2 linked regions of the Drosophila melanogaster genome follow. The protein of the gene in region 2 purifies or fractionates together with the protein of the main gene of each other region. This does not show direct contact. Each region holds a gene or a part of one and is shown on either strand. Other genes may lie near its edges.

The links.
Region 1: the proteins of wnd (region 2) and alph purify together in Drosophila melanogaster (affinity purification with western blotting, with the first as the bait; one study listed by BioGRID). This does not show direct contact.

Annotation. Positions count from the first base shown.
Region 1 is NT_033777.3:29,588,592-29,595,481, reverse strand, and holds the start of alph (alphabet), read right to left. Parts: upstream 3,652-6,890; 5' UTR 3,315-3,651; intron 2,389-3,314; exon of another isoform or gene 2,211-2,388; 5' UTR 2,132-2,210; coding exon 1,319-2,131; intron 1,256-1,318; coding exon 1,138-1,255; intron 1-1,137. Other genes in the region: CG31041 (uncharacterized protein), read left to right, coding at 4,600-4,974, 5,112-5,333; CG11470 (uncharacterized protein), read left to right, coding at 5,720-6,412.
Region 2 is NT_037436.4:19,632,204-19,639,172, reverse strand, and holds the start of wnd (wallenda), read left to right. Parts: upstream 1-3,389; 5' UTR 3,390-3,742; exon of another isoform or gene 3,743-3,751; intron 3,752-4,709; 5' UTR 4,710-4,792; coding exon 4,793-4,941; intron 4,942-6,076; exon of another isoform or gene 6,077-6,738; coding exon of another isoform or gene 6,739-6,806; intron 6,807-6,969.

The sequences.
Region 1 (6,890 bases), on a different chromosome or scaffold from region 2:
TTCTATCTACAACTAATCTTCTCTGAAGACATTATACTCTCCTATTTGATTTTGCTTAGAAATTAAGATTTAATTCGCTACTCCTACTTAGATACATCAATTCCAAGTGTTTGTTTTGAGTGTCAATACCTGCGTACGTTAAGTATTGCAATTTCGTTTGATTGATTCACATCGCGCCTAGTATCAAATGGGGTATACGTATATGCAAGTAAATGTATATACAAATTGGTTGACGGGTCATTTAACTACTTAGCTCGGGCAGGTTCGTCGATAATTGTTATTATTTAGGTGTATATGTACGACTAAAGCTAAATGGGCTGGATTTCGCATACATGGAACGCTTTTGGCAGTGGCTGTAGTGCACACAGGCATGTATAAATAATACTATAACTCAGGCTCACACACGGGGCAGACGAACACTGGTCAGCCACACGCACAGCCACCAGATATGACAAACTAACACGCTATACAGGTATTTGCTATGCATTAGTGATAGGATATTGGTCGAACGCCCACACACACCCCATTTACATATTTATACAGGCAAATATCGGTGAAAGCTCTCTAAGGGAATATATAACTAAATGTACGTGATGTCTAAGCACTAAGAATATGAGCATAAATGAGCCACATTATGTAGAGTATACAACATTTATATAGCACTCTTGTAAAAAAAAAAAAACGGACTTCAGCCTTTTTGCTGTTGATATGAATTTGTAAATTCGAAAGGTTTCAAATAAGTATTAGAAATACACATATAGATTATCAGTGCCTATTATTATCCATCCAATAGAGCTTTCACTGTACTTGAGGTGGGTGTGCGAGGAGTTCATTCTTGGCATTAGTAATGGCAATGGTTTGGTTTTCGTTTTGGTATTGTTTTTCGTTTTGGAACTACTTCGGAAAGGAATTGTTTTGTAAGATTCTAGTTTTGGACAAAGTGGGGCATATACAGCTCTAGAAGCACTTTGGGTCGGGACTGTAGGCCATCGAGGAGCCCATATAAAGTACTCGTGACGCTCAAGGTACAAAATATACGTATTTCGGTTCAAAAGAGACGCGAAGACGGAGGAGACCACTACGCCATGGGTCAACAGTTTACGATTAGTTATAAACAGAGTAGACGACTAAGACAACCTCTTGTGATCTTCTCGATTTGCTTTTCCAGACGATGTTCAGCCTCTATCGCCTCCTCGGTGGGCTTCGGAGCTCCGGGGAAGGCAATGATGATGATGCTCATGTTGTCGCGGCTACCCTGTAGTCAAGAAATGAACAGCATGTGAAAACTTTGACGATATGCATGGTAATCAAGACTCACCTTGTGCAGGCAGGTGTCCACGACCTGGTTGGCGATGCTCACTAGGTTACTGGTCACCCGCATTCGCGAGTGGATGAAGCTGCACACGTCCTCGTTGGACATCACATCCCAGATTCCATCGCAAGCGAGCACCAGGAACTCATCGCTATCCTGGCGGCTCTGACAGAATATCTCCGGTTCCGGCGATACCAACTGCTCGCACTGTCCCTTCTCCTTGACGTTCTTAAAGTCGTAATCCCCAAGGGCTCTCGACACTGCCAGGGTACCATTTACGCGCTTTATCATAACACTGCCACCCGCATTATAGATGCGCTCTTTCTCCTCCGGCAGAATGGGTTTGTGATCCTGCGTGGCGAACACCGGAACACCCTGGCGGCACAAGACGGCCCTCGAATCACCACAATTGGCGATGTACACTTGCGTGAGGCCGACAAAGGCGCACACGGCGGTAGTTCCGCCGCATTTCTCCGACTCCCGGGTGAATTCCGGCAGTTCCCGCATAACCTCGTCGATGCGCAGGAAGCCGGTGCGAATGCCCTTCACGTGGTCGCCTCCAATGAATTCCTCGGTGCTAATAATGCTCTCCAGAAGGTGCTTGGCACAGTGCTCCGACACCTTGCATCCGGCATGCCCGTCGAACACGGCAAAGAAGCTCCAGTCCGGCAGGGCATCCCCCAGCCCGGCACGAGCGTAGTAGGCGTCCTCCATCTCCGACCGCCATCCCTGCATCGAGCTGACCCCGAAGAGCAGCTTGTTGCCCTCACCCTCGTCATTGTGCTTGGCGGTTTTCGGCTTATCCAGGAATCCGCCCATGTTCACTGAACATGCTGTGTGCTGTGTGCCGGGCGGGTGCAATTTCTCCTCCTCTTACGGCTAGCCGGTGCCAAGGAATCTACGGATCGAGGACACAAGGGTATGCAACCATTAAACGACTGCCAATCAATATCAACCAGCAAGACCTTGAACTTGAACTTTCACCAGCGGATGACTAAGCAAAGGTCATGCCAAAATAGATAGTTTATAGTTTTCCACACACAAATAATAAACTGAATACTGTGTCTGAATATTCCTGTAAATGGTATCTGGATTTTTCTGACACAAACGGATGTGCAAGTCTCGGCTTTTGTAAAACCATTTCATTTCATAGAAATTTCTACGGAAGTTAAGTTGACTCATGGCAGTTTGATTTCAGCTGAACATGAAATAATTATTTGCTATACTCTTTCTAATTCTCGACCTGTATGAGTCGTAAACGCATCTTGACCGTCAGTAGGATGCTGGTAGAAAATCCAAAATAAGTATTATCTATTGATTTGAATACTTTTACTATAACTTGTGTTATTTTAACCTGTTTTAACCTGAACTGTTGAGACTGAAGGACTCCAAATATAAGGTACTAACTACATATATATAAACCGGCAAAAACATGTGAATTCCGAACTGGAATCAGCTGGCGCTTCATAATTAATATACATATACATGCTCATACATATGTACAGGGTACATTTGCGGGGCTTCCCCCTGTTGAGTTTTGCACTTGTGCCACAGAACAATAACTGTAAGCCGACTGCAAGGACATGGAAAAAAGCGCAAACACAAATGGGGGCGGGGCGGAAGACCTCGCGGCAGCTGCCCGCCCACGCTTTTCACCGCTATTTCCTCTGTGTCCCGCGCTTTTTTGCATTTCCTTTTGACACATCGATTTATCAAGGACGCGGCTTCGTCCTTCCGCTTGGCCGACTAAATTTAGCACTCGAAAGTGGGCGTTAAATACATTTTGTGGAAAATGTGGGGAAAATTGCGCGCAACAGCATCCATATCCCATTCACAAAAAAAAAATTTGTTTAGTGGCCAGCAAGTTGGCAGCACCGATTTCAGCAGGGGCGGGGGGTGGTGGAAATCCGGCATGGCCACCAAAAAATGGGAGGTAATGAAAACGCACTCGCGATTTATGATCTTCGGTGCTGGGAAAACCTTCGCCTCTCGTTATTTTCACCTCGCAAATTTTAAGTTTGATGATCTGCTTCTTCTTCCTCCGCTTGCTGCTCTTCTCTCCGCGTGCGAGTGGTTGTGTGTGTGCGAGTGCGTCGGTGAGCTGCGTGCGTGTGCGTGTCTGCCGTAAGTAAAAGTTTAAGAAGAAAAAACGATCGTTTTCCACTTGATTTTCATCGCCTACTAGCGCTTTTAAGATCAACGAACGAGTCGCGCACTTAATAACACTTCTGCGCGATCCCGAAATGCACTTTCGAGGCGGAAATGGAGTTTTTTCTAATATTTTGATTAACAAAGTGACTAGTGATGTAAAAAAGCATCGGGCATCGATGTACTGAGGGCGATACTTATCGATGATATTCGAAGAGCTATTGGCTATCGATAGCAACCGAAGGCACTCTTCTAGCGAATACACGCAACCCACCTAAGCAAGTACACCATCCTATTGGCGATGTTAAGTGCGATGCAGTTAAGAGACACCATCACTCTATGTAGAAACAGATGTTAACAGATGTGTTAAACGAGGTCCTGGCAGTGCACTCAAAAAAATTAGTTGTTCAAATCCACTGCATTTAGTTCTTGTGGCTTCCGCCAGTTTAAGTATGCGTTAATTTATGAGTGTCCATACTCCAAAAGTGCTTCCTGCACGAATTCTTAGAATTGTGTTATCTTTTATAATCTGCAAGTGATTAATACAAATTGCAATACAAAATTTGTGAATACCCTCTTAACTGATAGTAAATGTAATTATTTTAGAGGTGACGTAAATAAAAATTGCGTAGGCATCTATATTTACCATAAACAGAATTCCTGATATGTTTTATATAAAATTGGTGTATAAGCCATGCATTATTAGTATACACGAGCTAAATAATAAAACTATTAATTATTCAAAGAAAAATATCAGCGAAATCTAGTGTCTCTTATTTACTACCTTTCTCTAAACATATATTGTATAACAAGAACACGAAATTATTTTCCATGGTGTTAAATTTCTAAAGTAGATATACATATGTAGCTCTTTGCCTATAATGGGTAAAATATATTTAGTTTATTTGATGGAATGAATATTGTTGAATTGATATTGGGGGTTTCATTGACACCTTTTATTTGAAGAGCTTCCACAAGGCGTCACGATAACGGGGTCTACATCAGGAACTACCCCAGATAGTTTGTGGATCATAAATATTAGTAATCTAGTTGCTGGAATTACTACAGTATAAAAGCCAAGTCTGGGTCTTTGGGCCCCACACTCCAGTTGTCCAGTTCTCCAAGTGTCGAAAGTGAATATGTCGTTCAAGGCCGTCCCCCTTTTGTTGGCTATCGGCGCCGTCTTCGTGGCTGCCGTGCCCACTCCCGTCGAGACCGAGAGGGAGTCCTCGCTGGTGGAGCTCCTGCTCAGTTCTCCGGCCATGCGATCGGATCTCTTCAACGTCGAATGCGTGGACTACTACAGCCCGCTCCTTAAGGGTCACGTGGACAAGTACAACGAGGACTTCACCGCGTGCAAGGACAATTACGACGGGGCCTTCTCCCTGATCGACTCAAGCTACCGCAGTTCCCGCGACGAGCTGTCCGTATCCGTGAGGGACACCTGCCTTTCCCTCCTGACCTGCAATGGCAGGACCTCGAACTCCGATGCCTTCGAGTGCTTGGCCTCTGGGGTGAGTGATTCGTACAATGGTGGCTTAATCTATGATCTTCCACGCATACTCTAATGAGTATTTTAAAGTGTTTTAAGCCGTATTTTGTATAACTTTTTGCGCTTAATAGCATTAATAATATCACCACCCAATCGCAGGGTCCTTCGGCATCCAAGGAACTGGAGAAAGCTTCCTACAACGCATCCGACAACCAAACCAGCCTGCTCGCCGAGGTGTCCGTAATCTCGGAAACGCTATCCAGATGCCAAATCGAAGCCTACCGGACCTACAACACCAACCACGGCGAGTGCTACGCCGACATGGTAGCCTGCCTGGGTGATCCCAACTGGGAGTTTCCCAGCACGAACTACGTGCTCTAGGACTCGAGTCAAGATTCAGATCACCTCGAGCACCCTGTATTCGTGAACTTTTATCGCTGTAAATAAAAGACTTTGAGTGAATATTAATCAAGTTTAAACGATTAAATCCTATACCTCTGAAACTAGCTAAAGGATTGGACGACTTATTCATTATCAGCTCAATATGAAGGTGTTTTTCAAAAGTGTATCAAGAAAGCTTAAAGGTTTTTGGCAGTAAAACATGAGCTTATCTACTCTCGTTTAACATTGCCATCCATCAAACCTTTAGAGCCATCATTATCAGTAATTGAAAATATATAACATTAATGTGTAATTAAAAAGATAATGATAAATGGGAGTATAAATACGTCTGGGTGTCACATCCACCGTCAACTAACCTGGCCAAGATGTTCGCAAAGCAAGCCAAGATCTTGGTCTTCTGCCTTTCCCTGGGCCTCTCGCTGGCTGTGAAGCTGCAAATTCCCTTTAGACCAGACGCCCACATCCAGGAGCTGCAGCTGCAGAGCAGGGAGCTGGCCGAAGTCCACTCAGATCACTCCACGCAGTGCTTCTCGATCTACAAGCCCAAATTGGCCAAAATTGCGGATCAGTTCGAAACTAACTTTACGGCTTGCATCTCGGCCTATGACAATTGCACATCCCATATCAGCGAGAAGTATGCCGAGGATCGCCAGATCCTTCTCAGGTCCGCCAACATCGGCTGCTCGTATCCCAACTCCAATTGCCAGGTCTGGACTCTTGAGCAGCAGCCGCTGGACACCGTGGTCTCCCGCCTCGAATGCGCCTCCACCAACTCGGCCGAGAGCTCCAAGACCTTCTATGCCATTTCGGCCAATGCCACGCAGATTGCAGTTCAGATCCAGGAGCAATATACGATCCTAGAGAGCCGGAAGAGTGTTTGCATCAATGACGCAAATCGCTCCTATGTGGAAGACACCTCCGATACCTACGAGCTTTTGAACAACTGCCTCAAGAACGGACCAACCACCACAACTTGTAATCCATTGACTTACCCTACAACAACCACAGCAACAACAACAACAACAACAATAACAACCGCAGCACCTTTACTTCGTTAAAAGAAAGTCAATCAATAAATATATCAGGCAATTGAATTCTCTGTTTTATATAAATAAATAATATAGGAATGCAAGCTATTCACTGTGGAGCTTAGTTGTTTAATAGATGACAGGATTGAATAAAATATAGAGGGTACCAACTTATTTATGAAAGCATGACAGTACCTAAGATTATTGTATCAGCTATTGTTAATAGCTGCCATACGAAAAATAAAACTATATTAATTTTAATCATAACATCAGTCGGTGAATTATTTAATTTAAAAAAAAAAAATTTAAAAAAATATGCTAAAAAATTCACAGTTTCACGTCTTATAACAAAAACTGCTTTAATCCGTATACATCAGTTTTTATACCCCTTAGTCGTAGAGTAAGGCGGCATACTTGATTCCATGAAGAGTATGTAACACCTAACCGAGTCTATTTGACCATGTCCGCCCATCTGTCTGTCAGTCTGTCCTTATAAGCGTATCTCTAC
Region 2 (6,969 bases):
GGTTGAATCCATTTGTGTGGCCTGTAATGCTCTAAGAAATCTCTGTAAGACCTCCGAATAGGATTTCTCTGAATTAACCTGTACATAATAATTACAAAATCAAGAGTTCTACAAGAATTCGGAAAGTTAACCCTCCCTATGGTCTCATTTGCAAGCTGGCAAAAGTAAATATAAGCTCCTCCACCAAGAAAGAGTAGTGTGAAAAAGACAATATTTATGAATTGGGATTAACTAGACATGTGAGTTCAATTAGCAGGAAGTTCCCACTCACATAATTGATATTCAGTGCGTTTCTTAAATCGGAATCGTTTAATTTGACTTACTTTCCACAGTATCTATGTTCTGACACAGTTTTTAGATTTAAATTAATGCAAGCTGTTTTCGAAGCGCACTGTCATCAGGGGAATCAGATGCAGTATTAATTATTAAGTCGCCGTGAAGTGCGTTAAACAAAAACATTTCTGTGACAGTTGAATATATTGATATTTTGTATACTCTAAGTTGCTTTAAATAATAGATTTAAAGGAAAATTGTTAGACAGACCTAATGTTGTATACTACAACTATGTGCTACGGATACGATATACGCCCGATTTAATAATCTCAATTTTGTGACTACTATTTATAGATTCGTTTTCGATATGTACTCCGCCATTACTTCTAACAGCGAAGTGCGTATTCGTTGCTTCCCTAATATCTACGGTATACCTAAAGCTCTACTGAACCCGACTCCCGACTTCGAAAAGCCCCTCCTGGTAATATCAACAGCAGTTTTAAAATTAAACCTCAAATTGATTTCACCGCAACTCATTGTCAACCTCATAATACTTTCTGGCATTTTCCATTGCGCATTTTACTGGATTTTGATAACATTTGCTATTCCATAACTGACAATGAATGAAATGGTCTTAATTACAATCATTTGCATTGCATATCTGGAATACAGAGCCTTTTCGATATGGTTTTCCTATCCTATGGTGGCAGTTTCTAAACAATTCGATTCGTACTTAATAATCATTTAGCTTTTCAACAATTAAATCAAAACCAAATGTGCCAAGAAACATTTATTGAACAGCACTCGCTCCGGTATTTTTGACAGCACTGATAAGGCAACTCTAATAAACAGCACGTAGCATTTTCTGTCGTCTAATATAATTACATTTAATTAATGAATTAAGCATTTACAACTTAGTTTATACAAGATGTTAAGTAATAGATATTGCTGAATCCGATAAATGTCGATTAGAGATCTGGCTTCTGTGCAAGATCACATTTGTAAGAATAGCTCCTAGGACATGTATTTAAGTTGGGCAATAAAAAAAACCACAAAACCTTTGTGAAATATTATTTTAATGCTCGCTTGTCTGCGAATGGAAGTAATAAATATTTACATTTTTTATTTCAAGAAACTCAGTTCTTTATTAAATTTCTAGATCAGAACTGCGTACATTGAGGAACATATTTAAAAGGTTTTCCATGATGGCAGCTTTAAAAAGAAAGTGTGTTATAACCAATTGACCATATTGGATTCCTTTTTTAAAAAAGGCAAAGTGAAAAAAATAACTTTCCTAACAAATAGATATTAAACAAAATGATTCATTATTTTGAAGCACAAAAGAAAGAGATATTCCAATCTTCCATTGATACACTATTATTGTTCTCACAACAATACCAACAAGATCCTTATCTCAATGATCCTCAACTACCCTTAACTTAGACTTGTTAAAGGCAATTCTTGTGTTGAGATCATATACCCCCTCCCCCTCGCAAGTGGCACTGATTGACGGGCATGGAACCTGCACCCTGGACATGGAACTGGAACCCTGGGAGATACTGGCCCTCGGTGTCCCTCAAATGCGTGAAACCCTATGACTCATGCGCAATGGACCAAAAGAAAACGCCTGAGCCGCACGCAGGCAGCATAACAATTTATTGGTCAGAACATACAAGAAAAGGTATTTGTTGATAACGTGGAAGGGGGGAGGTGGCTCTAAGAAGGGAAAAGTGGATTGTGTGATTGGTAAGGATACACCGCGACAAAAAGATCTTATATACTTATGGCGTTATGCTGTTATCATGGGTGATAAAGGTAATATTTTTATACATATGTACGTAACATAATAATAAGTTGTTAATTTCGAAATATTTCGTGTATAGAATAATGCTTTTCCAATTCATAGTAGAGACATTTATTATGAATATTATATGCTATGGAAATTCTAAGTATGTAAATATACAATTGATCGCTGAATATATGCTATGGAAATTCTAACTATGTAAATATACAATTGATCGCTGAATTCGCTAAGTATTTTCCACGATGTAGAAAAGCCCCCACCCACTAACATGTTCTCCAAAGAGATCAGTCCTCTGTGGGTATGAGTCATCTTTGTTTATGTAGAAATTATGCTACCTGCTGCACTATGTTATTTTCATTTTCGTGCTCTACCTGTTGTGCGAAAGCGGAGGAGCAGGGGTATGGGATTCGACACAAATCCGGAGACACCGTTTTCACAGCTCTGCTCTTGTATAGCAATTCTTTGATGACGTGCCGAGTTTAACTACATACCCAGCTTATGACGTACAGACTGATAAGCTGATAGGTTGTTTACGCAAGCGAATTGCATTTAAGAACAATTTAAAGTTTAATTTTTATATGTATGTATGTTTGTTTGTGTATAAAGCGAAAAAGTATTAAGATCATACTTTAAGTAACTTAGCTCATGCTTTTATAACATATATTGATAAAACAAAATCAAAATACATACATACATTCTTTTTAAGAGTATCACTAAGTTTTTGACTTTCCTTAAATAGATATACATACATACATATCTAGTTATTTATTTCATTTATTAAGAAGCTGACTTTTAAATAAAATTAATACCCACATTTAGTATAAAAAACTGTCTAATAATAAATTTTTCTACTTTCAGATGTTCTTTCAAAATTTTAGATCAAAGTTTCCAAAAGTTGCTAATAGTATTCTTAAATTTAGTACTTAATATTCGAAAGAGAAAATAAAAATAGAAATGAAAAAGAGTGTGGTAAAAGCGAGGTTTTAGATATTCAACGACACACAAATGTGTACATCTAATTTCATTGATTTGAATTATTTAATTTATTTATTTTTGACTTCATTATCTTTTTAAGCATTATTTTGCTAAAAGCTCAGAAGCAGCTGCCATGAGCGCTTTTAGGCACTGAACACGATCGTGCACGTCGCTGACGAGAGCTTTATTAAACTTTTAAGCCAGATCCAGTTTCATTGGCACTATCAAGTAGAGTGTGGTGAGCAAAAGAAAAACGGGGATAATCGGAGAGGCGACAGCAACAACAACGACCCAGTGCCTTGGCAGTTGATGTCTGTTTGTGGTTGGCCATCCCGCGCAGTCGCGTTCTCCCGCACACTTGCGCAGTGAACACAACCTGCGCTCCAAACTGGTTTTGGTGGAGGAAATCCGCAAGAGAGAGCGCTAGAGAGCGGATTGGAACTCGGTTTCGGCCAAAGCCAAAGCAGAGCCAGCAGCCAGTTTTTGCTTTTTAGTCGATTTGTATCTACCTTTGGTGCGGACGGTTGGTCGGAATAAACGCGTTTCGCAGCGGAACTCCAAGAAGAGCAGAAAACCAGTCTTTAATTGTTCCATTTCAAGCTGAAATCAAATAAAAGTTCTTCGCCAATGGCTGAATAAAGTACGAATCAATGCAATCACTACGATTCGCAGTGGAAAATTGCTGGAAAAGTGAGCAAAGTGTGTGAAAAATGTGCAAATACAAGAATTTTTATATTGATTTTCTTGGCCAAAAGAGCGAACGAGCGAGCAAAAGGCAGCAGCAGAGGAAGAAGAAGAAGCAGCAACAGCACAAAGCTGCGCTGTAAGGCTTCCGTCGTTGGTGCGAGCAAGAGGGGAGGGCCCTACTGGGTGGGTGTGAACGAGACAGCAATAGCGAGAAATGTACTCTGGTGTGTGTGTGGGAACATTTATGTTTGTTGTTTTTGTTATGTTCTAGCTTTGGCCAAGTTAAATTAAAAAAAAAAAGAACAACAAGAAGTGGAGTTGTACACAGGAAAAAATGATATCAAGTGCCTTTTCTTCTAATATATGTTTATCTTTTGAAAAGCAAAAGATATTATTCAAATGAGAAAAAAAATAATCATAAAGTAATATTATTTGGCGAATTATATTTTTTTTTTAACAGAAAAAGATTCTGTACTATATCTCAAAAATAATTGGAAAAGCATCTAACTTACAAAAATGGGATACAATATATAAATACATTTTTTGATATCTACTTTTTTTTTCTGTGTACAAATAAAAAGAATACCTGTATGTGAGCTTGTGTGTGCGCCTATTCTTTTGTGCAATTCGCCTTTTAAAGGCATCATAAAAATAGCTCAGCCTGCAGTTTGAAAGTGAAAGAAAACCACATTTAAGCGGAATGCAAAGTGAATTGGCAGCAAGTGCAATAATCGACCCTTCTTCTTCCCGTGTTTGTGTGTTTAAATAGCTTTTTTTGCGTGGGTGCTATTGCTGTCTCGCTCCCGCTCCTGCTCGCATATCCTTTTGCCCTTTGCCGTTTGACGTCGTTTGCTTCTTATTGATTTTCGTCATTCATTGATAAGAGGTTGCGAACGAATGTGCGCGTGTGTGTGTCTGAAAAGGAAATCCCCAGCCAAAAAATACTAATGTTCGTGGTATCTCCATATAGCAACCGCTTTATTGACCAGAATGTCGTAAGGATCGATCATAGAGCCACCAATACACATACCCAAACCACACCAATCCTGGACAATGCAACCGTTCAGCGACAGTCTGAGCAAAAGTCGCGATGATCTGGTCACCGCCGCCTCCCGGCAACAACAACAGCTACACGGACGGAGGCGACACCACGGCAGCAGCCCCAACTTGTCGCTCGATCAGACCGACAATCTGCGAAGGAGGTGAGCATTATTATTATTAGACATTATGGTCGTGATGGCTAAGACAAAAACCTAAAAGTTTTAGAACGATTTTTGTTTGAGTTGATTATAGAAAAGTTGTTGGACATTTAGAAACTTTATTTAAAGAGTAATCACATAATTGATTAAATCTTAAAAAAAAAACTAAAAAGCAACCTCGAGCATAAAAACCCCAAAAAATAAATACTTTCAGCCATTAAAAACTCGTCGTGTTTAAGTAAAAGAAACAAAATCGGCTTGAAATTTTAATTAATATTTCAAGAATATGCCGCCGAATCGTGCTTAATTAAGCGGGGTAATCGACCTTCACTGTATACAAGTTTTTATGTAATTCGCAAGCAACTGAATACTCGAAAGTATTTAGCAGGTTAAACGATCGTTTAAAAATTTAAAAAGCCACAAAAATCTTGAACTGAGTAACAATAAAAAATTCAACTTTATCCGATAGATACAGGATTCTATTTCCCAAATAGGAGGCGTCAGCTTTATTTTCCTAGTTCCTAGTCTCACTAAGTAAATAGAAATCATTAGAAAGCACGTGCAAACCAAAAAAGCTTGTTGTGAAATAATAAAAAGTTATCACAGTAGATATTAAAAGAGCATAATAATGACAACAAAGAAGACAGACATACAGACATCTACTAAAACACTGCAAAACAACAGTGTTAACAGATAAGCAGATAAAAGGGGTTTCATTATTTAAATAGCGAAATACTAGTATTTAATAATTTTTTGTAATTGTGATTGATTATAATATTACTAAGGAGAGCACTCGATTTTCAGGAGTAGAGATAACAAGCACACGGAAATGTCTTCATAGGCAGTATCCACTGTAAAAAAAATTGGGCGATACAATTTGCAGGGGGGCGCAGCCAAAAACTTCCTATTCGCACACTTACATCCACAGCACGACCACCTGTATCTGTATTTGTGTGGATGTGTGTGAGATTTGATCATGTGTTCCCCACCATGAAAACTGGTTTTAAGTGTGACCAGATGGCAGCCTGGCCTGGGGAGACCTCGAGATGGTTGGCCAGTCGATACAGGCGCTGGGGAATGCGGTCAGTCTGACAACAACAACGCCGGATGATAACAGCAGATGAGAGCGGAGCGGGAGAGAGAGCTCCATCCGAACTGATACTGATAATGTGGAGCTAGACCGTTATGCTCACGCTGCGAGTCGCGATTTAGTTGGCGAAAATCAATCGCTTCTGGTGGTCGCTCTTTGCGCTTGAAATTCGCAAGCCTGCCTTAATTTGCGTCCGTGTGTTTGTGCGACAACAAAAACAAAAGCGAGCTTATCGCCAAATCAGTTTGCAGCCGTTGTCTGTGTGTTGGTGTGACGCAGTTGTGCGAAATACGTGAAATTATTGCATTTTTCCCCCCCAAACCCAACCAATAAGCAACAGTCTTGAAAAACCGCCAACGAAAGTGTTACGCGTCGCGTTCGTCTCTCTTTTCTTGTAATTAATAGCAACAAAAAGCGATACCAACTTACCTTGACGTCACTTTTTTTTATTATTATACATCGGACGACAAAAGGCGATTGTTGTTGTTTTTTCGGTGGCTGCTGGTGCTTGGCACGAACTCACAATCAAAAGTTAGCCAACTTTTGTTGTTGGCCCAGTGCGTAAAAACAAAAAAAAAACAGAACTGCTGGCGAAAAGCGAGCGTAAAATTTTGCATTAATGCAGTCTCGTCGCATGAATGAATGAAATTCTTAGTGCGCGACAACTAATTACGAAAGGGAACCAAAAAAGTGGCAATAACAAATAAACCATGGTCTACATCATACCGTTCTTTAGCCACAATGACCCGCCCGACATGATCATCACCAAAGAAAAAAGGTAAAATACACGCACCCGAAAGTATCTCAAGATGCACTGAGTCACAGAATCTCACAGATTCACCGCTGACCCATGCAGAAATGAATGAAAAGAAATGGGGAGACGCCGCCAAATATCCGCGTTCTATGAACCACACGCCAAAGGTCAAAACGTGCTTGGCCGC